Linked DNA regions of Schizosaccharomyces pombe. Changing the gene in region 2 together with the main gene of any one other region gives a genetic interaction. Each region holds a gene or a part of one and is shown on either strand. Other genes may lie near its edges. The genes, in order: arg12, rem1, SPOM_SPAC521.03 and msn5.

Evidence for each region.
Region 1: mutations in rem1 (region 2) and arg12 together harm fitness more than expected from each alone (negative genetic interaction), as found in Schizosaccharomyces pombe (one large-scale study listed by BioGRID).
Region 3: mutations in rem1 (region 2) and SPOM_SPAC521.03 together harm fitness less than expected from each alone (positive genetic interaction), as found in Schizosaccharomyces pombe (one large-scale study listed by BioGRID).
Region 4: mutations in rem1 (region 2) and msn5 together harm fitness less than expected from each alone (positive genetic interaction), as found in Schizosaccharomyces pombe (one large-scale study listed by BioGRID).

The regions. Positions count from the first base shown.
Region 1 is NC_003423.3:447,272-454,531, forward strand, and holds arg12 (argininosuccinate synthase), read right to left. Parts: upstream 3,755-7,260; 5' UTR 3,733-3,754; coding exon 2,500-3,732; 3' UTR 2,169-2,499; downstream 1-2,168. Other genes in the region: nuclear membrane organization protein Apq12, read left to right, coding at 1,663-2,010; Clr6 and Rpd3L histone deacetylase complex subunit Rxt2, read right to left, coding at 4,718-5,145, 5,326-5,434, 5,484-5,608, 5,659-5,693, 5,743-5,768; pleckstrin homology domain protein Meu6, read left to right, coding at 6,959-7,260.
Region 2 is NC_003423.3:1,950,872-1,957,713, forward strand, and holds rem1 (meiosis specific cyclin Rem1), read right to left. Parts: upstream 3,842-6,842; coding exon 3,380-3,841; exon of another isoform or gene 3,295-3,379; coding exon 2,548-3,294; downstream 1-2,547. Other genes in the region: SPOM_SPBC16E9.20 (uncharacterized protein), read left to right, coding at 921-1,490; phosphatidylserine decarboxylase Psd1, read left to right, coding at 4,838-6,151. UniProt on the Schizosaccharomyces pombe protein: Required for pre-meiotic DNA synthesis and S phase progression. Regulates levels of meiotic intragenic recombination.
Region 3 is NC_003424.3:843,035-849,921, reverse strand, and holds SPOM_SPAC521.03 (dehydrogenase), read right to left. Parts: upstream 5,002-6,887; 5' UTR 4,778-5,001; coding exon 3,998-4,777; 3' UTR 3,780-3,997; downstream 1-3,779. Other genes in the region: rps802 (40S ribosomal protein eS8), read right to left, coding at 1-402; sst1 (calcium permease), read left to right, coding at 946-3,591; DNA repair WLM domain metallopeptidase Wss1, read right to left, coding at 5,838-6,626. UniProt on the Schizosaccharomyces pombe protein: NADP-dependent dehydrogenase with broad substrate specificity acting on 3-hydroxy acids. Catalyzes the NADP-dependent oxidation of L-allo-threonine to L-2-amino-3-keto-butyrate, which is spontaneously decarboxylated into aminoacetone.
Region 4 is NC_003424.3:3,466,734-3,476,706, forward strand, and holds msn5 (karyopherin), read right to left. Parts: upstream 8,268-9,973; 5' UTR 8,075-8,267; coding exon 7,982-8,074; intron 7,899-7,981; coding exon 4,287-7,898; 3' UTR 3,780-4,286; downstream 1-3,779. Other genes in the region: efm3 (methyltransferase), read left to right, coding at 101-742, 875-1,102; zinc finger protein Cps3 , read right to left, coding at 1,464-3,112, 3,171-3,273; dbl4 (ubiquitin-protein ligase ), read left to right, coding at 8,828-9,973.

The DNA.
Region 1 (7,260 bases), 1.5 Mb from region 2:
ATTAATAATACAACGGTGTAATATAATGATATTATTATTACTGAACTTACAAAAATCTGATATTCCAATACTTAATAATTTAATAGAACTAAAGAACGAAGTTTCAGTTGGAAATGATTTTGCAGTCTTTTTGTTTTATATAAATTTATATTATATAATAGCAATGCCTACTCTCTGTGAAATGGAATTATAAATGATAATGTAATACAAAATGAATACTATTGTGTAAAGATGTGCAAACATTGTACGAGCTGCTACATAATATTGCATAATAAAGATATTTTTACATGTATATCACTAATAAGAAGTTGGGCATTGAAGAGTATTAGTCTGCTATCTTTGCAAATTGCTTCTAATATGTATATAAATAGCTTGGGAGAAAATTATTATTAATATTTAGTCTTTAGTAAGATCCAACAATTTAATTTATTAGAGCTACTTGTTTCATGCCGTTCTTAAATGTCCAGAAAAAAGATTTATTCATTCCAATAGAATAAATTAATATAATAAACAAGCATTCCCGCTATTCCAGCGTTAATATAATGGGTTTCATATGCATATTCAAAATGTATATAAAGGGTATACTAGCCACATTGTCATGTGCAGCCCTCGCTTAAGTAATAGCTTAAAACAACTGTGGGGTTATTGAAGAAATGAAAATGTTAAAAACGTAAAAGTTGTTTGTTTGTACGGTTGGACCCTCTAAACACTTTTTTCTATTCTGACATTTAATTAATTTTATGATGAAGATTTTTTTTATGTTCAGTAAGTAAAGCGATGCCTTATAACAATATTACAATGGTAATGGTATAAATAAAGATAAAAATTTTATAGCAATTGCAAGAATGAGTACTTTTGAAAACTCGGTTATTGGAGAATCAAGCTGAAGTGGTTGAAGCGAGCTAGTAATAACTCACTTTAAAGCATTTACCAATTGAAGTCTCACAAGCCTTTTGATATTTCGAAAAGGAAGGAATTATGCTAGGCACTCAGCATAAAAAGAACCATTTTATATGATAAAGGGCAAAGGGAAATTAATTTTCTCTCTATAATAGTAAGTATACTGTTGGATATTTATTCCAAAGGAAATATAGGCGGTGAATTCTACTTTTATCTTCTGATCTCTACGCTTTTATTATCAACCGTAAGAGTCTTTCTTTTATAGTAATAACAATCCAGTTAAAAAGGGATAAAAATACTTATCTTCCTTTTTATATATTACTAATCCTAAAAGAGCTTAGAAATAAGCAATTTTTTATTAACTAGTTCTTTATAAAAGCATATTTATAGAGAAAAGCATTTCATGAAATTATGCTATGTACAGCGAAATACGAAAATAAAATACCTCCTTTGACTAGAACTGTAAGCAACAAAGAGTAAACAATAAAAGCTTGTAGTCATTAGCAAATTAGATTTTTTTATCAGTAGTCTCGATATTAGATGAGATATGTTGACATAATCTGTTTGCCAGTTCTTTCTTTAAATGAGTTTTGTTTATAGAACCGTTTATTTCAACTCATCTTCCAATTTTTATTTTAACATATTTTATTAGCAAATGTAATCGTTGGTAAAATTCGCCTACAACGTCAACATTCAGTCAAAAAGCACACCTAACTACTCCCATCTCTATTACTCCCCGTTCATATTTTAACTTTTTAGAAAATGTCTTTGACATCCGTTTTATGGAATTTCGTCGCCAAACTTGCTGTGGACCATGGATTAAATACCAATCCTGATCAAGTCTTTCAAACCGTTGAAAATGTAGGCAAAAGTTTCGAAAAATATGAAACGTCTTTCCTAAAATCATTGTTCAATGGAAATCTAGGATTGAGCTTGCCCTCAGCTATTAATATCTTGACTTTGATTATAGTGTTATACTTCTCTTTGGTCATTGTAAATAAGACTACCAGTATTGCCCTTGCCCTCTTCAAAACACTTGCTGTAATTTCTTTTTTCTTACTAATCGGTTGTCTCTTTGCTTACTGGTTTATCAATAACGGATCTTTTTGAACATTGACTAGCAGCGTTATCTTCTTTGTTTTTTCAGATTACCGAGTACAAAGTGTTATGGATATGCTTTAAAAAATTTTATTTTAGTAATATATTTTTCATCTTTTTTGTTCCTCATTTCATTTATCATTCAAGATGGTTTCGACATTATTCTTGATTTTAGGACTGTATACGAAGAATGGCTAAAGGCCTGTAAAATATTTTTTAAATTAAAAGCATAGTATTGAGTACATTAAACATCTTAACAATTTGCGTTTGCAATATAAAACTTCAATTTCAATTAGTTACAGTTTTCAGAATTTATTTTTTTTTTGCAACAAAAATATTCAATTGACTTATCAGTGATATGAACGGAGTAATTCTATGAAATGTGAATATGAAAAGGAAGCCATCTCAAATAATACTTCTTATTTGCACAGCAGAAATTTGATTATTGCTTGGCTCAAGTACATGGTGAGTATGACATTATTATTGAGAACGACCTGGCATTTACATCCAATGTTTTCCTTCATCAGAGTTACGCAAACGCATAGACTCGATTTGGATGAAACCAGAGGTCCATGTAGGGTCAAATCCACCAAGCTCATCCATAGATGACAATTTCTCGTCATAAAGATGAGCAGTATCAGATTTACGACCGAGGACAGTGACATTGCCCTTGTAGACAGAAAGTTTAACTACACCGTTTACTACCTCTTGAGAAACGTTGTTAGCTGCTAAAAGCATACGAGTGCAGGGAGAGAAAAATTGTCCATTGTACAAAATTTTAGCGAGATTGAAAGTAACGAATTGGTCACGGAGAGCACGAACTTCACGTTCCATTGTTAAACCTTCCAAGTCCATATGAGCAGTACGCAAAATGGTTAAGCCAGGAGTTTCGTAACAACCACGACTCTTCAAACCAGAGAAACGGTTTTCAACAATATCGATACGACCAACACCGTTACGACGAGCGATAGCGTTCAATTGGTAGAAGATGGAAACGACTCCGCTAAAGGTACCATCCTTGCACTCTAATTTGGTGGGAGCACCCTTTTCAAAGTGAATGCTGAGCTCTTCAACCTCATCAGGAGCGTCTTTGGGATCAACGGTGAGCTTCCACATGTCCTTGGGAGGAGTCATACTGGGATCCTCGAGGATTCCAGCTTCATACGAGCAATGTACAATGTTTTCATCCATAGACCAAGGCTTTTTGGTGGTTTGAGTAACGGGAATGCCCTTAGCAGCAGCATATTCGAGCAAATCCTTACGACCGGCGAAGCGCTCGAAAAATACAGGCAAACGCCAAGGAGCAATGACTTGAACGTCTGGCTTCAAAGCGTAATATGCCAATTCGAAACGAACTTGATCGTTGCCCTTACCAGTGCAACCGTGAGAGACAGCGATACAGTTTTCCTTCTCGGCGATTTGGATCTGACGGCGAGCAATGATAGGACGAGCAAGAGAAGTGCCCAAGAGATAAACATTTTCGTAAATGGCGTTAGCTTGAGCAGCAGGAATGACGGTGTCATTGATGAACTCTTCACGCAAGTCCTCAACGTAAACCTTCTTAGCACCCACCTTCAAGGCCTTTTCACGGGCTGCATCCCAATCTTCCTCTTGACCAACATTAGCCATATAGCAGATGACCTCCCAACCTTCTTCAATAAGCCAGGCGAGGATACAGGAGGTGTCAAGACCACCTGAATAGGCGAGAACGCAACGTTTTACTTCTTGGGGCATTTCTTTCTTTTTCTTGAGGTGTAGTATATGTTAAGTTAGTAGGCCCAACCTTTTAAACTGATAGCGCACTGATGTAATAATATAGCCGACACTATTTTTTACTATCTTTCTCATCAATAAACCATCTTTATAGATAAACGATGGAAATTTTACACACATCTGAAAATTTTTCTTAGTATAGGAATTCTTAACAAAAATTTAATTGAGAAATGTGTGAAAACAGGTTTCGGTTAAATTACATGCAGGAATCGTAAATATCTTGTCACACATGCATTGATTAGTGTGTCTGAATTTAGTTTTGAGGAAGAAAGTGATACAATCATATCAGGGACAGTCAAACAATAGTTCTGATGGTTTCAGGTTTTTAAAGATTGATGTTTACTTGAATATGTTTTGCGATAAATCCTTGTAATCTTGTTGTTTCAAGCACTTACATTGTTCTAACAAAAAGAAGGTTGGGCAATTTCACAACAAATAACAATTTTAATACTTTGGGGAAATGAAAAAGCAAAATAAAGGATAAGTAATGTATTAACATACAAATGGCAAGCACATGTTAGTCGGTTGATTGAACGAAAAAATATACAACAGTGATAAATGAAATTATGTAACAGCAAACGTAAACGTACTTCCCTTGGAAAGAATAAGTAGAAAAAAGTGTGGATAGAAATTAGGATAGCCAAAGGGAATATGTAAGTAGCAGTATCTCAAATTATAAGACAAAGTTTCTAATAGCTGGGGATGCCAAGCTTGAGAAAAAACCCAACGTTATGAAAAAGTAAAAGAAATAATTAAGTTTCATTGCAGAAGAAATCACCAAAGACGTTTTAAAAAAGGATAATTCTATTTTTATAATGTCGTAAAAAGGAATTGTAAATCGAATGGAATAAAGAATAATATTCTCAACGTTTTATTTTGCTGACTTATACGCTTCATCAGCTTCAAAATAATGAAATTGAAAAGATTGATGAGAAATCAATAAATTTTAGGAATTTGGTTTTCCATCACTCTCATTTTTAGACAAAACTTGGGTATTACCATTATAGTCTTCACCTTGGCAGTAAGCAATGACTTTGTTTTTAAAACGAATGGCCCGAAGAAGGTCCATGCGAACGTTTGTCCAGCATCTAATAAACTCCTTGCTTTTTTCCAAAGCTTCTTGAACTGTGATCGTCAATTCTCTACACTGTTCAGGAGAAATCCCAAACACTTCATGAGGTGGTCCTGGTAGTGATGGGTCATCACCTAAAAGTGCAACCATCAATTGTTCGAGATGAGCAGTATATTTGTGTTCAGCAGATATAATTTCAAGAGCAGAAGAAGCAAGGATTGATAAATAATTTTGTTCAAATATGGAAGATATAGCAGGATGTGTGAGCAAGTCTTGTGGTTTTGTCAGCGGTGACATGATCTCTATAATTTTTACTGAGTTAGCAAGCGATCGATGTATATGACCATGATTGGCGAGTGCTGATAACTAATATTTCAATTCAATTCATAATCAATCTTTGAAAACACAACACGAAATCTCCAAAAGCACAATGAATCAAAAAAATTGTATGTCTAACATAACTAAGTGTGTGTACGACTTACCAGCTATGTTTATATCGTTATATGGGTTATCATGGTCCAACCATTCCGGATCTATTCTCCTTCGAAAATGAGAGACAACTCCTCTTTTAGTATTACCAATGTTATAGTACTATAAAGTAGTGGTTAGCAGTTTACGATTCCCAATTACTCACACATACATCAATGTCTATAGAGGAGCCACTAGAGTTACCGACGCAACCATAATATACATTTTTCGATCCTTTCTTTCTTTTTAATCCACGATTTGTAAGTGCCTCTCCAATGGAAGAGTCGGAATCCGAGGCTATACGAGATGTTAGTGAAAATTATAAATCTCATTTTGACAATAATTACCATCAGAATCTTCAAATAACGCCTGCTTAAACCTTCTAAATTTGTTAGAAAAATACATAATACGTGACATTCATAAAAACCTACTCAATTTGTTCTTCAAATTGCTTCATGGTTTTTGGCACGTCAGATATTCATACTTACTCAATCCAGTACAAATTAGCGATTTCTATCGCATTATAGCGTTTACATAAAATGCGAAAATAACCTGGCGTAAGTTGGGTTACTTATTCAATTTATAAATAAATAGTATTGAAACAAAAATATACATTGTTTTAATCGTTAGAGGTAAGCTGCTAGTATTCTTGAATAATAAGAAAAATCCCTTTCCGCAGGTAGGGCCTGGTTTATTTTGCTTTCTCGATATTCCTTTTCCAATTTTTACATGGATGGAAAGACCAGCTTTTTAACTTAAAAAAATATTTAAAAAAAATAATTAATCCATAGAGAATAATGTATTATTATGGAACTTTTATATTCTCACACTTTTTCTCCTACAAACTTATGTCGTTATAATGAAACAAATTGCTATAGTTTTCTTGGAAGAAGTGTAAATATTAAAAGGAAATTTCCAATTCAAAGATGTGGAAAGCATTAAAAAACATCCTTCCATTCTATTGAAAATTTTAAACAATTTGAAAATACCTCGAGTTTGGATTTGCTTTTTTGAAACTAGCGTTCGTCAAAAATAATAAGTAAATAAATAAAAATTTAAAATCTCGTAAAATTCTTACCAATTAAAACCTACTTAGTTTTTAAGCAAAACAAATGAGCAGAATAGTTAAACAACATTTAATTTTTATAAAAAAAGGAACTAATGGTGACAATCATGTATAAAGTCAATGAAAAATATGGCTCATCTGTTGTTGTTAAACAGATTTCAACTCAAATGAAAATTTTAGGATGGTAGTCGCAATTAGAAATTAAAGACAAACACTTAATTGTAAAATCTCTCAATACTATATAGTTCATTCAATCGCAGACAGCTCGATTCCAGAAGAATGTATATGTTTTGATACGAATGAGCGAATACAAGATTTAATGGCCGTTGAAGATTTTATTAATAAGAATGAATTAGTAGAAATTTTTTAACATTTAAAAAGTAAATTCTATGTATTTTCCCTTTTCTATTGATGTCCATCGTTTGTTTGTATATTAGGTAGTCGATTTGTTTGTTTACATTCTCGCCAACAATTGGTATTCAAATAACCAGCTTGGCGCAGACTTTTCCTCTACCACAAATATTTACAGCATAAAAAAAATCCAAAATTGAGAGCCTAACTGTTGTTTTCGACTTCTTATCATGTCTTATGAGGGCCGTGAAGAACGACCTGAGCAGATTGCTGAACCTACTTTCGAAAATGTGTCGGAACACAATGAACATGATTCGGGATCTGCTGAGGCCCAGGTGGAGACACTGGAGGTGCCATTGAGCAACGAAACCGACAATGATGATGCCACTGAAAACGCTGTTCCTGCAGAAGTACAAGCACCTGAGGAACCCAAGGAGCCTGAAACAGTCGACAATATCGATCCTGCAGATGATGATCCAAACAGCGTGGCAGCTCCCAAGGTTGAAGAAAAAAAATCCAAGAAGAAAGCCAA
Region 2 (6,842 bases):
AGAATTATAACAAGACTATGTAGTAGAGGGTAGAAGAATAGTCGTGTTATGAGGGCTGAATGAAAAAAGAAAAATTAAAATAGTATAGTATAGTATAGTATAAGAGTATGAGAAATCGTTTAGTACAAATTGAGGTAGAAATGTACTATAGACAAGAGAGTAATCAAATCAAATCAAATGAATCGAGTAAATAAGAGTCGTTTGAATAAGATGGGATAAAAGCAAACAAGAAGCGAATCTTTTTTTTAATCTTTTTTCTTTCGTAATTGTTATATGTGAGAAGAGAAGGACGAGCGAACCCATCAATATATAGTAAATGAGTCAATGCCTTACATCACGCCCAACTCGAGCGATTCAATACTTTTTTTCCAATCTACGTCACGTTCTTCATTGCAGAATGGCATGGTGAGTGTGAGCGTAGCAATAGGCATGCCATTCCAATGCCCAAATACGTCGCCATCCACGAGCCAAATTGAAACAAACGTCACCGACCCTACCAGTAATTAAGTTGAAGGATGGAAAGGGAAAAGGATGAGGAAAGGATGACGCTGTGGAGTAGAGAGAGAGAAGAGAAGGGCAGTGAGAGTGAGAGTGAGAGAATGGAGAAAAGGTATGAATGAAGAAAAGAAGGAATGAATAAATGTTGGAATGTAAGAATGAATTGAAGTTTATAGTAAATAGAAAAGTGAAATGTTGAAACCATCTTTTCTTTTCTTTTTTGCCATCTTTTCTTTTTTTCTTCTTATTGTTTACATGATGAATTGTGATTGTTTGATAATATTGCGTTTGTTTTTCATCTCTCCTTTCTTTTCTACCTCTTTTGCTATTCGGTTGATTTCCTCTACGTCGGTCGCAACTCAGCCATCAGCCTGGCCCTTTGACATCGAATTGTCTGTATTTTCGGTGTGGTTTGTTTGTTCATGCTGGTTGTCGTGAGTTTGACTCCTCCAGTCGGTGTTTGTGTTGGACTTTTCCATCATTTGCTTTCTCTTGGTGGTGGAATTACGACGTGCATTACGTCGATGGAAACGGGAATTACGAAATGGAGCGGGTCGCTTCGATGCAACTCGCAAATGCAAAAAGAGAAAGGGGAGAGGAAAGGAAAGGAGGAAGAGAGAAAAAGAGGAAAAGAGGAAAAGATATGGTTTCATTCCAAGAAGATGAAAATTCATGATTATTGTATTGTATTGTATTGTATTTTATTTTATTTTTATTTTGTTCTTATTTTATTTTATTTTATTGCATTATATTTTATTCTACATCCATTCTACTCGACTATTCTCTTTTTCTTTCCTTTGTTTATCAAATGCTCTCATCTTCACACCCTTACATCCTTTTACTCTTTACTCTCTTCTCTCTTCTCTTCTCTCATTCCTAAGCACTCCTTGCATCTCGCTCCACTACGAAAACTAAACTTATCGCACTTTGTTTCTCCCCTCTGTGCTATGTTTCCCCACGTTGGCTTGCGCTTATTGCAAACGACGCAATGATGACGAGCCCTTGGAGACAGGGAAACCGGGGAAATGCTACGTCGATGATGTTTGCAAATCAATGTGTTTGCCAATGTTCAGCAACAACAATTCCGTCTGCATACTCTCTGAAACATTTCAAATGTATTTAACTCAACAAATGTTACAACCCAAACTTTTTCTATTTACGCCCAAATACGTTGATAAGCATCTTTCAAAAGAACTGCTCGTTTCATCAAATGACTGCTCCAAGGATTCCTATATTCATGAGCTGATATGGCTATTCATAGTATCATAGAGCATATTATCAGATAAGACAAATTAGGTTACAGATTTTTGGTAGCATAGACATCTAGATACACACAACAACAAGATATAGATAGGACCACTAGGTAAAAATTATTATTAATAAAATATATACCCTTACTAAAAAAAAAAAACAAATAAATAAAAATAAAATAAATTTAAAATAATAATAACAATAATAATATTTCTTTTTTTTATTTTCTTTATTTCTTTTTTTTTTTAATTTAATTTTGCTTTTTATTCTTTTTTTCTTGTTCAATTTAGGTACTTTTCTTTCCTTGTCTTGTTCATCTTTTATTTTCTTTTACTGTATTCTAAGGCACTCCTTTAATAAAAGGTACTTGGTAGCGATTCCTCTTCTCCTTCTCACAAACCTTTATTAGCGACATCTACCGCACTACCAACCTCTCGACATCAACTTGACCCTTCGCTTCTCTATTCCGTCCCACCCTCCCTCGCTTTTTACAAACCTTCTTACTTAGCGATACACCTTAATTCGAGCTTCTTTCACAAAAGTCCATATCAAGTCGTTCGTCTCCCTTTTCACTTCTATAACCCCAGTCTTTACTCTCTCGTGTAATTTTTTTTCTCCTACTCTTACTCTTCTACTTTTACTACTACTCTTCTTTTTTCTCTATTTTCCTACACTTCCCTCTCTCTCTCTCTCTCTCTCTCTCTCTCTCATCCTCTTCATATCTATCTTTCATTAAATTTCCTACATCTTACTTCTTCTTCTCTCTCTTTTCCCTCCTTTTTCTCTTCCCCCCCCCCCTCAACTACCATCCATCGCCATCAAGTTCGTATTTGTCGCAATCCAGTCATGCACTTGTCGACTAATCCCATGGAAATACGGTGTTGCATACTTTGAATAGATCGCATAGTGGTGATCAAACGGATTTTCTAGACATTTCAACAGTAGATGCACATACGAAACTAAACTCATATAATCATATCCCGTAATTTGAGGCAACGTATTGCTCCAGTTTTCCTCTTGCAATATAGATTGGCCGGTGTAGGCGCATGTCGCTACCAATTGACTCGCCCTTAGACTTGAAAATCTTTGTTCCACTAGCGATACTTCAAGAAAATATTTTATCATTATTCGCAGCTGCGACTCCCATTTGTTGACAATCGTCAATAGCCTCAAAAACGATACTGGCCCCGGCCACCCAAGTTGATATTGAAGAACCATAAGCATATACTTTTCCATTCCGCAAATATCTTCTCCTATCCATTCTCCCTCCAACACTATTTCCAAATCTTTCACTGTAGGAGGATGGATCTCTTCATACTTGCAAGCAATAAACAGCGCCGTTGCGCCGCAAAGTTTCATTTTCGATGCTGGCACATTTTGTAGAGATAGAAATCTATCCAATACATTGATCGATAGGAATAAGGATTCTGGAAGCAGGTTTATACATGTATGCACCCCCACAATCCAATTGATCACACTAGCCCTCATCTCTGTAACATAATATGGTTGAGCCGACATATGTCGGTAATCAGGCATAAATCGAATCTAAAAAATGTTAATAAATAAAAACTTCTTCAACTCCTTCATCTTCTTGTTTTCCTTCCCCCTTTTCTTCCCATTTTTTTCATACCTCCAATTTCTCCATGTGCGATAGGATTTCTTTTGCGTATTCCACAGACACCGATTCATCTGCTGAATATCTCATCTGTAATTCCTCCTCTTCATCCTCCTCTGCACAATTGTCATTTGATTCTTCAATCGCTATGCCAAATTCCGAAACACTGCAATTAGGACTTTGAACGTTACTGATCGAGCAAACATCCAAATCTACCAAAAGCTGTTTCTCCGTAAAGACTATCTCTTCCTCTAAAGGTGACGCTAAAAAACTATCATAGTCCTTTTGTATTTGCGACTCTTCAATTGAACTAATTCCATGCCAGCTCTGTGACGGAAAATGTTTATCTGATGGGCTACACCCATTTTGAAGGGATATTTCTCGTACCTGTGCGTTCACCCAGCCTTTTACGTTCAATGATTTGGAAACATAATTGCTTATTTCTTGAAGCGCAACTCTTTTGTTGTTAGAGTTCATGTTTGAATTGGTTCTCGTTGCTGAAACGGTCGCTTTAATTGTTTCAACCAAGCTCTTAGGTAGGCAAGTATCAGTCAATACAATTGCTTTTACTCTTTAATGATTGGGAATCAAATCAAACCGTTTTCTTGAACTTTTTGTTGTAAAATGGCAGTATGCTATTAGCAGGTTCTGTTTGTTTACAGTGAGTCAACAAAAAGTTGATGGTGAAAATGTTTGTTTATTTCCCATATACATATACCAACGGTCGTAACCTTAAAGTAAAACACAACCCAAAACTAAACTTTACCTCTACTATATCAGAATTCATGCTGCTTAAAAATTCCAAACAATGCCCGAATTCATGAAATAGGTTTTTGTGTTGATCGAAACGTTATCAAAGTAAAGCAAGGATTTTGATCAAAAACTCTTTTATTATTTGTATTGATGAGTTTTTACAGTCGCTCATCGGTTGTAAACATTCCATTATTTTACCGTTTTCGAATCATTGAAAACTGAACATAAGAAATCTTGCTACAATTAAGCTTTTTTTCTATTAGGTAACCATCAAACAAGCTTAAAAAAAATAATTAATTTACGCCTTCTCGTAAGTTATTATAATCAAACAAATTGAAATGTAATTGAAAAGAATCTCCTATTCTAAGATTTTTCTACAAACTTGCTTCGAAAGTTTCTTCTGCACTTATACAATGCTATAAGGAATATTCCTTTCTTCTAATTTTGATCGATTTTCGCAAAGTAGGATTGCCTGATACAATGTCAAGGATCTGATTTAATTTCCTTAAAAAAAAAAAAAAGAAAGAAAATGAAAACTCAACAACTTTAAATCATATTACAGTTCCCATATTTACTTGATATCCCAAGTTTACTACGACTTAACTTCTACCACTATCCTTTGAGAAGCACATGGATTCGAAGAAATAGCATATGGAAGTTTAAAAGTTAACGGGTCTCCGAAATCCATTCAAAAGTTTAATTCCATAAAAACAATCTAACATGCTAAAATTTCATCGTAATGTGAAGCCTCAATTTGGTGCATTTGCAAGGTATAGTAGTTTGGGAAAACACAACTCTCGTAAACGGGTTGGAATCATCCGCTTAGCATATGGGTTGACAGGAATCGGCTTGGTTGGATTAGCTGGCTTCGCTTGGGCTCAAGATCGTCACGAGAAAACGTATCAGAAGAAAGGCGTTCAGGTGGAGGGACCATGGCAATTTTATGTCCTTACCACTTTACCATTACGAACTCTCTCGCGTTGGTGGGGATATGTTAATCGTATTGAGATTCCTCTATGGATGAGAGTGCCAGCGTTTGGCCTTTATTCTAAAATATTTGGTTGCAACTTGACAGAAGCTGACCCCGATGATGTCCGCCAATACAAAAATCTGGCCGAGTTTTTCACCAGAAAGTTGAAACCTGGAGCGCGCGTAATTGATCCCGATGCCCCAATTGTTATTCCTGCGGATGGGAAAATCTTGAATTATGGTGTTATTGAAGGAGGTCAGCTTGAACAAGTAAAAGGTATAACCTATTCCCTTGATGCACTATTGGGCGATGAGAAGTTAGCTCGTTTGAAGCGCAGCCATGCTATTCCCTCTCCCGATCATATCCCTCACATTCGTCAAGAGGAGTTTGCCAAGTTAAATGGTATACATTACAGTTTACAAGATTTAATGGGTCATGATCATGGTGAACGACCAAGCCATGTCAAAGATGCTAGCGCACAACATATTGATTTGTTAAGCTCAACAAAAGTGGCAGCCAAATCACAGTTTACGTTGTTCGGATCAAGAGAAACGAATTGTTTATACTACGCAGTTATTTACTTGGCACCAGGTGATTACCATCGATTTCATTCGCCGACTGATTGGGTCGTAGAACGAAGAAGGCATTTTTCCGGAGAGCTGTTTAGCGTTTCTCCTTTTATGGCTCGTCGACTCGGAAATCTTTTCATCTTGAACGAAAGAGTAGCTTTGATGGGGAGATACAAATACGGGTTTATGAGTATGATACCCGTCGGTGCTACAAATGTTGGCAGTATCCGAATTAAATTTGATAAAGATTTATGTACGAATCAGTTTGGAAAACTAGGCCCAGTAGGTACTTTTGATGAGGCTGTATACACCTCATCTTCTTCTATTTTGCATGGTCACCCATTACTTCGTGGAGATGAGGTCGGAAATTTTGAGCTTGGTAGTACAGTGGTATTGGTGTTTGAAGCACCTGCGGATTTTGAATTTTTGGTCAAACAAGGGCAGAAAGTTCGTGTGGGATTACCTTTGGGTCGAGTTGTCCCATCTTCCCATTAATAAAAGAGATGAACACTCATATTTTAGATTGTGGATTTCCCATATGTTTAATTTTATTTTCATTGTCTTTTTGTTGAAATCTACAAACTTAAGGGATTTTATCTTGGAATTTCTTTGTTTCAATATAGCAAGCAATGCATATTGGTATAAACTTGTTGTATTAAAAGGACGGACTGGATAAAACGAGAAGAAATGAATCTATTCGTCAACGTAATTATGATAATCCAATGTAATATTAAGTTAGGAAAAATACACAAATTAAAATATGTACATGCACTAAATTACAACCACTCCACCTTGAAGTAGTCGTACTCAACGGCATCTCAGATTTTTATAGTCTCATTTAATTAGCCATACAATTAAATATCGCTAATCTCAACTCAATCCTCATCATAAAAAAATATAAGGAGAGTTTGATGGAGACAGAGTAGATTTACTCGTTTCAAGTTTTTATAATTACAAGGTCCAATGAGCTGAGAACAAAGGTATTTAATATTATTGTATTTGTACAGATGCCAAACGATAGTTTTAATAAACTATCAATTAGAACATAAGATTGTTAGCTACACATAGTTGGTGGAAGTTTAATTTTTCAAGTCAGTGGAATATATAAAAGCACACTAGTGCAATACTGAGAAGTACAGCATTTTTCGTAATACACTTTGCATGTATGATTAATTTTTTTATCTCT
Region 3 (6,887 bases), on a different chromosome or scaffold from region 2:
GGGAGTAGGTGTAGCAGTGGCCTTCTTACCCTTGCTTCCCATCAAAATACCGTAGTGAGTTTCATACCAAACACGGAAAGGAGCGGCATCAATTTGGACGATGGCCGACTTGGTCAAAGTGTTGGTACGAACCAACTCGTTGTTAGAAGGGTGGTAGGCGACTTGAATGATACGAGTCTTCTTGGAAACACCTTCAGAGCCCCAAGAGAAGTTACCAGAGTCAAGACGAAGAGCACGGAACTTCTTGTTTCCACCACGAACACGAACCTCATGGATACGCTTAGGTCCAATACGAGTGTTGGAAGGTTGACGACCCAACTCGAATTTTCTCTTCTTACGGTATTGAGCACGCTTAGCACCGGTAGCAGAGCGCTTGTGGCGGGAATCTCTCGTAATACCCATCCTGATCCTTTTGCAGAAAGAGATTTGCTGTGGTTACGATGAACTAGTATATAACACAGTAACTGAAATTGTTTGGGTTTGGCTGTGACTGTTATTTTTGTTTCATACTACTACTAATACTTTGTACTTAACGAAATTCGGTGTATTCTTACAAAAACCGATACCGTAAGTTAGCGTATTATCGCTTAGCTCTACATTTAGTAAACTGTACAACGATGCTCGGCTCTGATTAAGCTCAATTCATCCCGACAATCTTTAACGAAGTAAACATTGTATGCTCATTAACGAACTAATGGGAGGACTTCGATATTGTAGAATTGGCGTTCTTTTTTTCAATTTGGTATTCTGATTATGATATGCGTAATAGAAAATGATCGCAACCTTTCCAATCATGCCTTCCTTTCTCACTATTCCTTCAACAATTTTTTATAAATACCTATTTACTCAATCCTCTTAGCTACGTACAGGTGTTTTAAGGGATAGAATATTTGGCGAGGGTTTGATTCGGAAAAGTAATCATTGTGACAATTACTACCGCCTACAATGTCTCAACCTGCTGATATAAATCAATCTGAGAGCTCTGCGGAAACCATTACCCAGGGTCGACGGGCTGATAGACCAGAAGAAACTCCTTCTTCTTCAGTTTATGAACAGAATCTGCGATTCGGCGATTTCTTAATGCCAACTGTGGGCGACGCTGATGCAACGGATTCATTATCCCAATCTACCAATGATCGTGACATATATTCTCCTAGAGAAATTGATCAGTATACTCGGAAAGTTTCCTCTCGGACTGATCCATCAACTTCAACTATTTCAAATGCTCGTCAGCATCCCAGAAATTCGGTATCTCGTTTAAGTCGTAGTTCTAGTAATGTTCGGCAACAAAGAGATATTCCTAAGCAGAACTTTAAGGTACGTCCTCTGTCTCCCTTAAGAGGTCAGTCTCCCGCCTCTCTCAGATCTGAAGAATCCTTTACTTTGAAAGAAAGGCAAAACGCTATTAACAAGACTCGTGCATTCGGGATGCGGCTATGGAAACCCGCATTATATAAAAAGTTCCGATCCATAAACCGTGATGCTGACATTGATATTCACGATGAACCTCTGAAACGCCCCAACACCTCCATCTCTAATGTCATATGGCTGATTTGTTTCGGGGCTCCTCTTTTTCTAGTGATCTTTATATGTTATATATTTTTTACAGTCCTTTCATTTTTTAATGTGCCTGACGCGATCGTTTACTCTAAGCTTTGTCGAGGCCTTATGTTTTATCTCCTCTATCCCTTTGGTCAACATGTTCGACATAAAGTCAAGCGTCTATCAGTACGCTCTCCTGCTCATCCAATTTATCAGACTCAACATTCCCATTATGATGAAACTCCTACTTCACATCACCCGGATCCGGCCCGCTTAAACTTCCTTTCGTTTTCTTTCTGTGTTAATCCAATGAACCAATCGTTAGATTGCAATACTACCCCACATCGAAGAAACGCTTCCAGTATCATTTATACACTTATGTATTACTTGATTATTGCTCCGACACTACTCATTACCTCTGCAATTTGTATGTTTACTATTTTTTTCGTTCCATGTGCAAGGACCTTATGGGCTATTTGTCGACATTTGCGAACTTGCCCATTATCTTTGTCTTTTCGTCCAAATCTCGCTTTGCCGTTATCGATGGATTCTTCAGATGTTGTCTTACTATGTGTAAAAAAAGCAGCAAGCTGGAAGTATTATAAGTATACTATCGATGGTATTTACATAATTTATTTTGATATGCTAGCGCTCATAATCCCAACCATTTTTTTTGGCTTTTTTGGATCCCAAGGTCATTGGTTTACTTCTTCTGTATTTTTATTCACTGCTTCGTTGGTGAGTATTATCCCTCTTGCATATTTTATTGGAATGGCCGTGGCTTCAATTTCGGCTCAAAGCAGTATGGGAATGGGCGCTTTTATAAATGCCTTTTTTGGTTCAGTAATTGAGGTATTTCTTTACTCAGTTGCTCTGCGTAAGGGTAACGCTGGACTGGTTGAAGGAAGTGTAATTGGCAGTATACTAGCTGGTTTACTTTTGATGCCTGGGCTCTCCATGTGTGCTGGTGCAATTCGAAAGAAATTTCAGTTTTTTAACATAAAGTCTGCTGGTGCAACTAGCACAATGCTTCTTTTTGCTGTTTTGGGTGCTTTTGCCCCCACTATGCTTTTTCGAATCTATGGTCCTTTTAGGTTAGATTGTGAGCCTTGTGGCGCGAACTGTCAGAAGTGTACGAAACACTATGTTTTAGAAAATGATTCACTATATAAAAATAGAGTCCTTCCATTTACTTACTGTTGTTCGATTATGCTTGTACTGGCATATGCGATTGGTTTATGGTTTACTTTAAGAACTCATGCCTCCCATATATGGCAAAATTTTACCGCCGATGATATCTCTTTCCTCAAGGCTGAGGAAGAAGTTGGTGAGCCTGTAAATCAAGATACTGCAGGCAATATGTCGGATAGCTCTGAAGGAGGAGAGGCTGTTGTCAACGGCAACTCTCAACATCATCACAACCGTGATGATGCTTCTTCAGGGTTGTCGTCTAATGGAAGTGAAAATGAGTCGCTAGAGCATGAACCAACAAACGAGTTACCCCAAAGACCTCTAGTTAATCAAAGTCAGAACTCCCACGGTGACGATGCTCCAAATTGGTCAAGAAGCAAGAGTGCTATCATTCTTTTGTCGGCAACATTCTTATATTCCCTCATTGCCGAGATTCTTGTCGAACATGTAGATACGGTTTTGGATAAATTTGCCATTAGCGAGAAGTTTCTTGGACTTACTCTATTTGCTTTAGTACCGAATACAACTGAGTTTATGAATGCTATATCATTTGCGTTAAATGAAAATATAGCTTTGTCAATGGAAATTGGGTCCGCTTATGCTTTACAAGTTTGTCTTTTGCAGATACCTTGTTTAATGGGATACAGTCTGTTTCAATATTATCGTTCTGGTGATTCAATATCGTTTAAGCATTTGTTTACCATGGTTTTTCCAACGTGGGACATGATTTGCGTGATGATTTGCGTTTTCTTGTTAACCTATGTTCATTCAGAAGGGAAAAGCAACTATTTCAAAGGTTCGATTTTGGTATTGGCATACCTTGTCTCCATGCTTGGTTTCACATTCTTCAACTACTAGATTTTTTCTCTGCACACCTTGTTGTCAATATGTTGTAATTGAGCTCTAGTTATTTTTACACTTTTATTATAGATTATTATTTTTAGCTTACATCATCACTTTGAAACTTGCGTTTCATTCAGTGAACCATTTTTGTAATAAGAAACGAAGAGGCTTCGATCTCTATACGCAATTTTCAATCAAGTTATGCTTTATCATTTTCATGTTTATATTTTTTTACGTTTTATGGGCCCTCAAGCATTGACGAAAACTAATGAATAACGAATATCTTCTGATATAACCGAATGTCGGAAATAGTTGGGAAACGTGTTATTAATAAAATTTCAAAACTTCATGCATACATTAAATTGAACTTAATTGCTAAATCGTAATAATAACGAACAGCTTTGTAACATAGTTTTAATGCCTACGCTTGCTTTCTGTACACATGATTGGCACCACCTTGATGGGATGGGAAAACAAGTGTATCGGCAATAACGACGTTTTCTCTGCGAGTGAGGGCAAAAAGAATCACCTCAGCAATGTCTTCGGGTGTCAAAGGCTCACTATTTTTGTAAACATTATCAGCCTTTTGTTTGTCTCCGTGGAATCTCACAACGCTGAATTCGGTTTCGACCAAGCCAGGATCAACCTCCATAATACGAATGCGAGTGTCAATAGTCTCCTTACGCAAAGCGGAAGTGAATTGAGCAAGGGCAGACTTGGTAGAGCAGTAAACGGAGCCGCCTACGTATGATTCTCTGCCGGCAATACTGCCAACGTTCAAAATATCACCCTTGTTTTTGCTGTAGAATATAGGAAGAACCGCACGAGTCATAGCCATCATACCAAGAACATTGGTAGTAATCATGGTAACGGCGTCATCAATATTAAGATCAATGACTTTATCGGTACCTAGAGCAAGTCCAGCATTATTAATCAAGACATCGATATCAGCAAATTCCTTTGGCAATGACTCAATTACCCCAGGAATAGACTTCAAATCAGAAACATCCAATTTAAGAGGAAGAACCGATACTTCATATTTCGATTCTAACTCCTTTGCAATTTCTTCAACGGTAGAAAATCTGCGAGCAGCCAAAATAAGTTTTACTTTGGCAACTTTGGCAATTTCAAAAGCAGTGCTTTTTCCAATTCCAGAAGAGGCACCAGTGATTAAAATCGTTTTTCCATCCAAACGGCTCATTTTTAAAGATATAAGGCAGAAAGTATTTGAAGAGTAAGAACAAAAAAATAAATACAAAGATAAAATTACAAATGAACGTAATTTATATAATAAAACCACAGTAAAAATCTAGATGTTCCAGACTTAGAAAATAACGTGGGGGTGATGATTTAAATCAACAGACTGTACTTGGTTTAGGTTACCTATTAGTGCGCCAAGACTTTATTGAGGTTCCTAATATTTACGAGGTTCATAACTCCTAACTTGCTCCTATATATATATTCTATCAATTTGATAATATTAGATAGTTTTTTATCGTTATTAGCAGATTATCTACCGAAAACCTCATTAATTGGCTGCTCCGTGGAATATCCGCGGAAATCATTTTCCTTAAGCAGTTAGGATTTGTATATGAATGAGATGGTAGAACATCGGAAATGTTCTTTTCAACGGAAAAAGACTCTTTTTAGAGATCTTGGAATAAAATATAATTGCGAATGATTGCAAATTTCAGCGTTAGATCACAGAAGATCTCCCCAGAAAATTAGTGAATAGTAATCGCATATAGTAATGTAATACGCAATTGGTAGTGATAGGGAAGTAAGGTTGAAATTTATGCTTACCTTTTCGCGAAATTTTTTTGACATGCAGGTTTCAACACTGTTTTGCAGCTTAATAATGGATTTTTTCAATAATTGGTGCTGAAACGAGGGTTTTGGTTATTTAAGTTATTTTCATTTTATTTTTTTATTTATTTTTTTTATTTTTTTTTTCCCTATCTATTGAAATTTATTACTTAGGAAAGCTAGCGAATTCCCATTTCTATGTGTTTTTTTTTGAACAATACTTTCTGCCATTTTTTATGATATTTTGTTTTAATACATTTTTATTGGTTTATCAATCATTAAGAGATATATTAGTCTTTAAATGAAAGCTGTTTGTTTTAATGTATTCATTATTTCTCTTTGTTAATCGTGTTACTCTAGTACGAAATGTCCCCCAAAAAATGCTACAATTTAAAGGTGATTTGATTTTGTATACAAATTTTTTTCTTTTTTATGTATTTATTCTGTTGTCTAATTTATTCTACTACGAAATAGTTTTCCAAGGTTGTAGAGCTATTGTGATCTTTAGGCTTATATTCATTAGAATTGTCGACTCGGAGAAGTGCCGCTGCAATTCGGGCTTCCCTTCCGCGCATGCTTTGAGCTTGGGGTTTTGCAGGTGATTTCAAAAGCTCTAATCTTATGTTCATATCAGTTCCAAGCTTTTGTCCTGTTCGTGTAAGCTTCCGCTTCTTTGTTGAGGAAGGGGTAGGCTTTCTTCTGATTTTCTTTTTTCTTTGCAAAGATCCACCACAAGTTTCCACACCATGCATTGTGCTGCGTTCCAAAGTTATTCCGTTAAATACAACGGTGTTATAATTTCCTACTACATTGGCAAGGACAAATGAATCCCAAGTCATGTACTTTCCAGGGCCTTTATAACCTTTGGCGTAAAGAGCAATCAGGGCAGCTCGAAGAGTTGATAAATGACTGAAAAACCGACGATCGTGCGGCCCCTGCCAAATATGACAGAGTTCGTGTAAAAACACGTCCATGACAAATTCAAATGGTAACCATCGATTTGAAGCGTCTCTAAGGACAAGCTCAATACATTCTCCCTTATTCCAGTTTCTTCCCCAAAATTTTGCATTGTAAGCAACCTCATCCAACGAAGTGACTCCGAATCCATGCTCCTTCATAATAGGAAATGCCATTGCGGCAATTCTTTTTAAATAATCAGAAGATAGATCATGGAAATCTCCTTTTATAGCAGATATAAATCCTATTTTCTCATTTGGATGGTCATCGTCGTTTATTCGTAGCATAAAGCTAACACTTAAAAGGATACTCGTAGTCAGAATATAATATAAATACAATATAGCGATCATGGAGTTACTGCGTTTTAATATTTTATGGTACCGTCATAGGGCTTCTTGAATTCGCTTAACGAAAAATAATTTTCAAATGCAAATAAATAGAAATGAAAAACATTACAGTACAAAAATTAACATATTTTCACAATCAATTAATTTTCTGTTAAAATTATATTATTACCTTAATTTCAATAAGTTTAGTGAAATTGCTTC
Region 4 (9,973 bases), on a different chromosome or scaffold from region 2:
GAGAAAAGTATAACAATGCATTGCTAACTGTCATTTAGTGAGTTATTTTTGTAACCGATATTCTTGCTGGCAATTAATTATCATAGGCATCACAGGGAGTATGCATGGTGCCCCCGAGTTCTTAACAAAAGTGAAACAGCAATATCTTCAGCAAGTTGACTTATATCGCTTTCAATGGGTAAGCAAGCCAACTGACTGGCCTATTCTCTTTAATGACTATGCACAAGTGTTTCTTTCGGAAATAGTGACACCCTCGGCATACACCAGGGCTTTTTTAAAATCATATTTTCGATTTTTAGACTCTATTGACAGCGGCCATAATGAACGAAACGAGGCACTGCTGTACACTTATATCGAATCTCTCTCCAGCACGTATATACCTCCTGTACAATATTCTTTAGGAGAGTATGATATTTTAATACGGGAATCCCGGCATGTTCTTTTGCGCGAAGGAACCACTGGAGCTCGTACATGGGAAGCAGGAATGGCTCTCGCCGAATACATATATCAACATCCCGTTCAATCAGGAATGAGGGTACTAGAGCTAGGAGCTGGTACAGGTCTTGTTAGTATACTATGTGCAAAAATGGGGTCCATCGTCTTGGCTACAGACGGTGATACAAAAGTGTGTGATGGTGTGCGAGAGAACGCTCGACTAAACAATTGTGATATAAATGTTAAAAAGTTACTATGGGGAGTAGATCCACCAGAATTCTCAGATATTGTTTTTGCATCCGACGTGGTAAGTCAAGAATCTTGAACTATAAATAGGAAATTGAAAAGTCGTGTTAAGGTTAAACTGCTAACGGAAACTTATTGTTTAATAATTAGTGCATTCTTTGATGCGTACTAATTATTATGCAGTATGTTATAGACTTACGATTGTGATTTAAGGTGCTTGGCTACTACCCTAACACAAATTATAACAATAAATCCAAATTGTAAAATTATCCTTAGCGCTAGTCTTCGACGACAAGAGACATTTTTTAACTTTTTGAAGCTCATCCAAAACCTCTATGCTCGACAGCTGGAGGTGTGGGATTCTCCCAAAATACTTTACTATGATAGTCCACCCATCGTCTTTTATGAAGTCTCTAAATAAACAAAATGAATGTCTAGACGGTTTCAATGCTGACAAATTTTCTACTATTTTAAACTCTACTGGTTTAATAAAATGGAGTTCTTAAAATCTCATCAGTATTTTATGGGTCGTTAGTATTGTCACCAAGTTAACTATACTTGCAGTTTCAATGTAAATAACAGCTATCACTACTTTTATTACCAATACTAACTAGCAGTGACAATCATAGATAAAGCTCGCAACCTTTGGTATCTCCATTAAAAGCACAAATATAATAAATAAGTGGTGAAACACGAAAATAATCACCTTTTTGTGAAGCTAAATTTTTTTTGTTTAGCCACATTATTAAATCGAAATAGCCACTAACGATATAGGGCATATGCTAAGCTTCATCCATTTGGAATTGAGTCTCTTCATCCAAAGTTGTATCGTAAGAAGCCACTACTTCTGTTGAAGTTTTTGATTTTTCAATAGAAGAGGCCATGTTAGACTTCAGGGTTTGTCCGTTTTCTAAAGTTTCAGATATTGCAGTCAAATTTCCTAAATTTTTAGGTGTAGTTGCTGTAAGCGGTTCCTGGGAAACCTTGTTAAGTGAAGGAGGAGTAGCTTTCTCAGATTCTTGTCGATGACGATCAAAAAATGCAACAAACCTACTGGAGGTGGGTGTTCCATTATAAGAATTGTAGGGTGTAGGATTCCCACTATTCAGGTTTGAAGAAACCTTTGACATAAATCTTGAAGCTGAGGAAGAACTTACTGCTTCATCACCATGGCTCATTTTTCGTTCCAACTCCTCTGGAGTCAAGAGTTCTTGCAAACTGTTGGGAATGAAATCTTCCTCATTAGCGAACTCGTCAGGAATGTCATAATTTACAGAGTCCTCTTGTGAAGTTCCCAAGGAAGAAGCCAGTAAAGATGTCCCCACAGGATTAAAACTTTGAAGTTTCGAGGTGAAAGAATGAGTTCGGTCAGTACTTTTAAGGAACTGTGATGAAAACGTCGAGGGACTAGTACCGAGGGAAGATATAAGATTGGGAACGCTCCGACGACTTGATAGTGGATAAAGGTTCTCAAGCGAACTAGGAGTAGCAGTAAGCGTACTACCATTTATTCCTGGAAACTTCCTACTCTTATTACTTCCGACGCTTGTTGGTACCGAAGGGCTTTTGGTAGGACGTCCAAGATTACCGGTTGCGGTAAAGGTATTCATAGAAAATCCCGGAGCCATAGATGCACTGTAAGAGCGATTTAGTATTGGGGGTTTCAAACCAAGAGACATAGATTCTGGATTGAATATGTTTCTCGTTCTGATTCCGCTGCCAAATGAGGCGGGTGAGATGTGATTGGAGTTAAGATGTGCCTCTGGCGTATGCGGATAGGAAGAACTAGATAGAAATTTGCTTCCAGAAAATGGAGAAGTAGAGCTTTTAACAGATATGGAGCTGAGGCTACGCTTTGCATGTGGTGAACGTACCGTGGAACTTCCATTAGTTGCCTCAACATAGGCAGGAATGGTTTCTATGCCAGTCACATCACTGAAATCCTTAACAGATGCTTTCTTTGAGAGACTATCCCCCACAATAGAATATACGTCTTCTGTAGAAGCGGAGAACGCATTGGCAGCAACAGTCACCTCCGATGGAATAGCTACGTTGGATTCTTCCTTTTTAATTACTAAAGCTTCATCTTTTATTCGATTTTTTTCTTCTGAAGCTGTGGCTGATGCCATAGTAGTCATTGGCAATATTTTGTCATTGTTGGAAATGATGTTAGCCATAGGAGCAGCAGATATGTTTTGAGAGCTTGAGCCCATAGCTGTAGTAGATGGGGCAAAGGCTCTTGTCTTTACTTTTCTTCCATCAGGTAAAACATGTTCCAACGCGCATTTAGAACCAAATTTACAGTTTCCTTTTTGGAAGTATTTACAAATAGTTTTCTCTGTCGCCAATTCTAAATCGTGACTAAATATACAGTTTTTTCCACTTGTACAAGTTCCTTGCCTAAAGAACTTACAAGGAACGTGTTGTAAACCTAACTTTGTTAGTGAATCTGCTCAACTCTCCGTGATCGTCGTCCACAGCCTTCTTACTTTTTGGAGAGGGTCTAGTAAGCGATGTTGCCTCCGAATTAAACTCGCTTAAATGATATTTCTTCATGTCTTCTGAATTTTTAAAGGCATTTTTCTTCGTCATTTTTGATGCATGTATGGGATTGATGTCAAAACACCAGATAGTTGCTCTGAAAACGAAGAAATGAGAGCCGCATTAAAACAGCCTTATAAAAAACTTCAATCAGCTTTTTATAAAAGGCTTCGTTTGCGATATGTAGCTTCTTGAGATATACGATGATGGGGAACCTTGTTAGGTCGAAACTATATTATAATAGTAAGTAAACCTTAGAGCACGCAAATTGGGGTCACAACCTTGGGTGTTGGAAAGAAAGTCTACACTAAACGAAATAGTCAAGTCTATTAATAATATTGTATATATTAAATACTTCTAAGGGGATTTTCTAATGATATCTCGTATTAGTGAAACCTCCGGATGTTGGGGTTGGTGTGGTATTGATAAAGACTGAGCAATGTAAACAAAATAGCTAAAATTCAAAACAGTCAAATTAAGATTTCCAACAACCCCAAAGGTCCCATTATAAATACAGGCGTTTTAGCCGAAAATTACATAGAAAGAAATGAGTGTTTATTAAATAACAAGCAATTAAAAAAAAAAGCATCGTATATTGGCTTATATAAAATTGCCCAGCTTCTACATTGATAGATGTCAATAAACACATGCATGCCATTATATACATCATTAACAATAGTAAATATAAAAGACTAATCATCTCTTTCCCTTTGCAAAGAGATAAAGGACATCTATTTTTTCACCCTTTTTTAAAATCTAAGAAATGTAAGCATTAAACGTTAAATATAAAGTCATAATGATAAATTTAAAAAATCATTCCACAACTTCAAAAATGCTGGATCGGTTAATTCCATAAAATGACCATATGTGCGAATAGTTAACCAGTAACTCATTTCCAAGCAATGCTAATGCTGCTGATTTACAGTACTAAAAGAAATAAAGCTAGGAATTTATTGAACTGAGTAAAACGACTACTCTGAATGAGAAGTCGTGATATCAAATTAATGTGTTCGCGTAAAAAAAACAACAATCTTTGAATGCTTGCCATTCCTTGATTTTATCTTTTATTCAAAGAGATTGGCCAACCCCGTATCTTCGTCTCTTGAGAGTACATCATTTTTTTGCTCGTCTTGCAAGCTAACACTTTTTTCAAACCTTTTCAGCATTTCTTTGGCGCTTACATCAAGGATGGCGGCATTGACAGCTCTACGGTCAGTTCTCGGTACAATTCGACCGGAATTAAGAAGTCTCGTAAGCAAAGCTTTTTGAATTTTTAGCGTGGAGGCTTCACGGAATTTGTTGAAAAATGCTGGAACCAAATTTTCTTGATTGGCAAGGGCCGGAATACTAGCCAGCAACTGAAACGCTGAATCAGTAATTCCTTGCGAGTATGACAAAATAATACAAGCTAATCGAATAAAATCTGACTGCATTGACTCAAAGTAAGGATCATGGATAGCTAGAATGACTGATTGAAACACCTGTTGGCAGATAAACTCTCGTACTAATGAATGAGCCTGCTCAGATACTAAGAGTGGAGTAATCGCCAAAAACGCATTTACTACCAACCCCACAGTCCGAGAGTCATGAATCACCAATAAATGGCATAATGTGCATAATAATGGTTCGCAAATGATAGCGTTATCCAATACATATTCGGAAAGCTTTACAGGACCTTCAACAGTCTCTTTTCCTATTAAGCTTGAAGAAACATTGGACCGAGATTGGGTAGGAGTGATTTGTAAAAATGTTTCGGTAATCAATTTTGCGGTAGCATAAGTTAGATGACGAAGCAAGGACTCTTCAATCATCTCCTCTGACAAATCATCATCCTCTCCTGTCTCCTCAGCATCTTCTTCAACAAGTAATCCGCGATCGTTAATCCGCCGCCACTCACTAACTAGTTTGTGATCTAATTCGGACAGCAAAGCTGGCAGTAAAGGTAAAAGACATTCATCGCGAAGTTCTGCAGGACAATTAACGCAATACGGTTTGATTACAACATTCACCATAGACGTCCATTGATGTAAACTTAACCCAGCTGCATGAGAAAAGAAAGCTGTCAAAAACTGCTTAGACAATCCGGGTACACAAAAAAATGCTTGACCTAGACGCATAAATGAAGCTATAGCATAATAACAGTATTCCCTTAAACGCCTTAAAAAATGACCGAACGAATGTATTAACTTGTTAGCTGAGACGTCCATCTTGTAGGACTCTTCCAAAAATTGATTTTTAGAAATTTGACTTACACCATGCAACCAAAATCTTTCAACAATACTTTTTTGAAGTATCGAAGAATTGTGCATTCCTAGACCACTTATAAATGAAGGCTCATAACAACAATGCAACTGTTCAACTAATTTTAACAAATTTGGAACAACATTTGGCAAGATAACTTGCCATAGGTTCTTTTGCCCTTCAAATTCAGATGGATGTATGTGTTTATTACTACAGGTGGCTTCACAAAATCTCCCCAAACATTTAATCGGCCATAACCATTTACGGCCAGTTTCAAGATTTGATTGATATGAAGCAGCATCAGCATCCAGTTCAAACTGTGTGTAATCAGCATTGTAAGGATACTTTGCTGATAAGTATTCAGCCATTTGAGGAAACCCAATGTGATTCAAAAACTCCATTGGACTGTTAACAGGTGGCTGAACATCAAGCCAAGTCTTGACAACCGGTCCAACTAATTTTTCAAAATATTCATTTTTGACTTCAATATTGACATCAGAAAATTGAGTTATTACAAACAGAAATGTTTTTAACATTACAATTTCAGAGCCCGTTAATGTTGTAGCATTGTCCAATTGATCGATGATAGATTGCAACTGATCAAAGATATTCATCAAAGGGTTCGGCATTAGTTCTCCTAGTCTCACAAGCTCAAAGCAGCATCTACTCCGCATCTCATTAATTTTTTGAACATCGGAAAATCCATACGATGCGGAAGTGTTATCGTATGTGACAGCAGATATAATTTTTTCAAGGACAACACCAAGCAGGGTAGTATTTTCTCTTGCAAGAATGGATGTAAATAACACTAAGACACTGATCAAACGAGTAATCAGCATAGGGTCTTTGAAGTTAATTTCAACAAGCTGTTTGCACCACAAAAACAGATTTTGTAAAATTATTTCATAAGTAGCGGGATCATCAGAAGTGTTTTCGTTCCAACGAGTAACGCCGTGCAAAAACGCTTCTATCGTTGAAAATCCAACATCCATTGTAAGATAAAGAGGACTGGTCTTTGAAAAAAATTCAGTCTGGGATTGAATATCTTCCATATTGCCAAGAACAGTTGACTGAAAACGATTTTGAATCCAGTTTAAGGACTCGATGGGAGTGATGGATACGGTTAATCTAACAATGTCAAACATAAACCTACGAAAGTTACCGCAAAACGAATGCACAGCAGAAACACCTTCCACATCCTCTTGAAGGTATTTAGCAGTAGCAGACTCCGGTATGAGTTCAACAACTGCATCCTCAAAACGAAGTAACCTCTCGGAGGCAATACTTAACAACTCAGGGTAAACGATTTGAAATTTTTCATGTTTGGAAATAATGGGATCCCTCAATGCTAAAACCCAAAAGTGTTGAGATATAGCACTGATTAATAAACTAGGATGTTTCATGATTTCCAATACTAGTAAGGAATAAGTGTCCAGGGATGTGAGTTTAATACATTTCCGTCGATTAGAGTCAAGGTAATTGTATTGGCCCAAAGCAACTATGGTCTCAGACAGTTTTTTTAAAAGAATATATTCGGGAGTTGTAGATGAAAGTGTTTTAATATTTATTGATTCAGATGTGGCAGTGTAAACTTGATGGAGGGTATAGAGACTAGATGGGGACAGCATTTCTTCGACTATTTCCCACAGAGGATCATCAATTTCCATGGTTCTGGTTACACAAATATAAATGCAATCAATAGCGTGTGTTTTTAAAAAGATTGGCCCTTGGACTAAAATTTGACAAATATGTGAAACGATGTTTGCCTCTCGAATGGAATCAGTAGCTACCCAGGACAGGCAGCTTTTGAAACACTTTAAGCATTCTAAAGCATCATCTTGACTTTCTAAAGCGTTGCCCCACCGGATAAGCCAACCCTCATTGTTAGAAGGGATAGTAACGGAATAAGGAAGACCTGAAGGATATAATTTGTGCAGGGTGGAAGAAGAGGATAGGATGCTGATAAGCGCATTAAAAAGAATATGAGAGCGTAAGGATGCAACGGGATCATCATACTGATACAAGTCTTCCATTATACCACGCAAGATGAGGGAAGATAGTTGACGATGCTGAAGGCTTAAAGACCAAAGTGATTGTAGAAAGGAGTCAAATTCTTCTCTCCATGTGTTATACCAGTCTCGTTTTGCAATTTCAATAAATACGGAGGCGAGTTTACTACGCACAAAATGTACGGACAGCAGGTTATTGTCTTCGAGTGATATTTTACATAAAAAGCTAGTGACAGATTCCTTTTCCTTATTCGAGAAACTTTTCCAATTCATTCCAACACTCGTTTCAAAAAGACTAAGAGAGAAATGTTGTACTATATGAATGTCAAGTTTACAGCCGAGTGAGGAAAAAGCCTGCTCATTCAACTCTAAGAGTTGAATGGCGACCGATGGACTGCTGTACGAATCTTTAAGTTCATCTAGTAACTAAAAACGATAATTAGCAAATATTCATGGACCGTTTCCGCAAAGCACCATGGCTATCTCCATTATGACTCATCGCGACTTACCTGCTGGGCAGAGAACCGAGTTTCTCGCGAGCTTTCAGGCGAATGCACCACATTCAGAGCTTGTAAAATATTTGATAAACCTTTTTCATCCATCAAAACCAGTTTATTGAAATCGAGTCACTGAAACTCAAAAACTGTTTACTTCAGGACTCCTTTGTGATGCAAAGAAATTTACAAAGATAATCAAGTAATCACAAGTATTCCAATACTTAGGTAATAAATAATGAATTTTCCTTAATAATAATCTTGAAACGAAGCAAGATCGTAACTGCGTGTTGGGTGTTTCAAGAAACAATCAAGCCAGCATACACCGCATGTGTTTAGCCTGCCATTCATCGATAACGATACATTGCAGTGTGTTATATACATAGTCAACTTTCTTTTCTCGTTTCAACCCCCACTTGGTATTGCAGATGGAGGCTAAATTTCTAATATTCTTTGAATGCAGCAGCATCCATCTCCCGTACACTTCGTTAAAACATTTTTGATTTGGAAAGCAGGAGGGCAATTGTCTTGCTCATTTCATAAAGGCCAAAGCCGAAGTATTTTACCTTTTGCATACATCTGGCTCTTATTTTTCAGTCTTGTTACAGGTGGCCATTTCACGACAAGCTTTACTAAAGATTTCACGATTTACTCGTTTGTTTTGTTTGAGTGGATTCCATCTGCTGTGGCATCTCGTTTGCGGTTTAAACAATTACTTTCCTGCTCGGATTATTTGTAGGTTTTTTGCTTATATAAGGCAATTCGGCAAAAAAACAAGTGGTTTTGCTGATAGACAAGCATTCATTGTATACCTTTCTTGAATATCGGTTAAATAAATTTCGGTGAATAACTAAAGCTAAGATGTCTGACCTATTGGACGATGAATTTTATGAGGAAGAATTTGAAAACGATCTTTTGGATGCTTCTGAATTCGAGGATGAATTTGATGAAGATGCAGAAATCGATGATGATGGGTTCACTGTAGAGAGGAAACGGCGGAGAGCTCACAGCGTGAGCTATAGAGTGGTCAGCGTTCGCGATCTTAGGGCCTCTCTAAATGAGAAGATTAATCAACTTACTAGTATCATTGATTTGACGAGAGAGCAAGTGCTAGGGTTATATCGATATTTCAAATGGAACCGCGAAAGACTGCTAGAGAGGTATATTGATGCTCCAGAGGAATCCCTTCAAAAAGCAGGTGTGGGACTTAGTGGTTCTAAACAGCGGGAAGTTGTTCACCATGAAGGGACTTGTGAGATTTGTTACGATGAAGGTTGTCTCCCATTTTTCAGTGCTGAATGCGATCATGAATTTTGTTTAGCTTGCTATAGACAATATCTTGATTCCCGAATAAGTGAAGGTGAAAGTGTCATTCAATGCCCTGAAGAGAGCTGTACGCAAATTGTATCCATTCAATCCATCACAAAAGTGTTAGACGAAAAGTCACTTGACCGGTATCATCGGCTTCTGGATCGCTCATTCGTTGACGATAATGATCATTTAAGATGGTGTCCAGCTCCGGATTGTGAGTTTGCTATCGAGTGCCATGTTACACAAGCTAGTTTAAGTTCGGTGGTGCCTACAGTAACCTGTAATTGTGGCAAGCAGTTCTGTTTTGGCTGTGGACATGACAACCATCAACCGACAATATGTCCACTGGTAAAAATATGGCTCCAGAAATGCCAAGACGATTCTGAGACGGCCAACTGGATTCATGCCAACACGAAAGAATGCCCAAAATGTTCTACCACTATTGAGAAAAACGGTGGTTGTAATCATATGACTTGTAAGAAATGCAAATACGAATTTTGCTGGGTTTGTCTGGGTCCTTGGACTGAGCATGGGAACAACTGGTACACATGCAATCGATATGAAGAGAAGAGTAGTACAAGCGCTAGGGATTCGCAATCGAAATCTAGAGCCTCATTAGAAAGATACTTACATTACTACAATCGGTTTGCCAATCATGAACAATCGGCTAAATTGGACCATGAGCTATATGAGCAT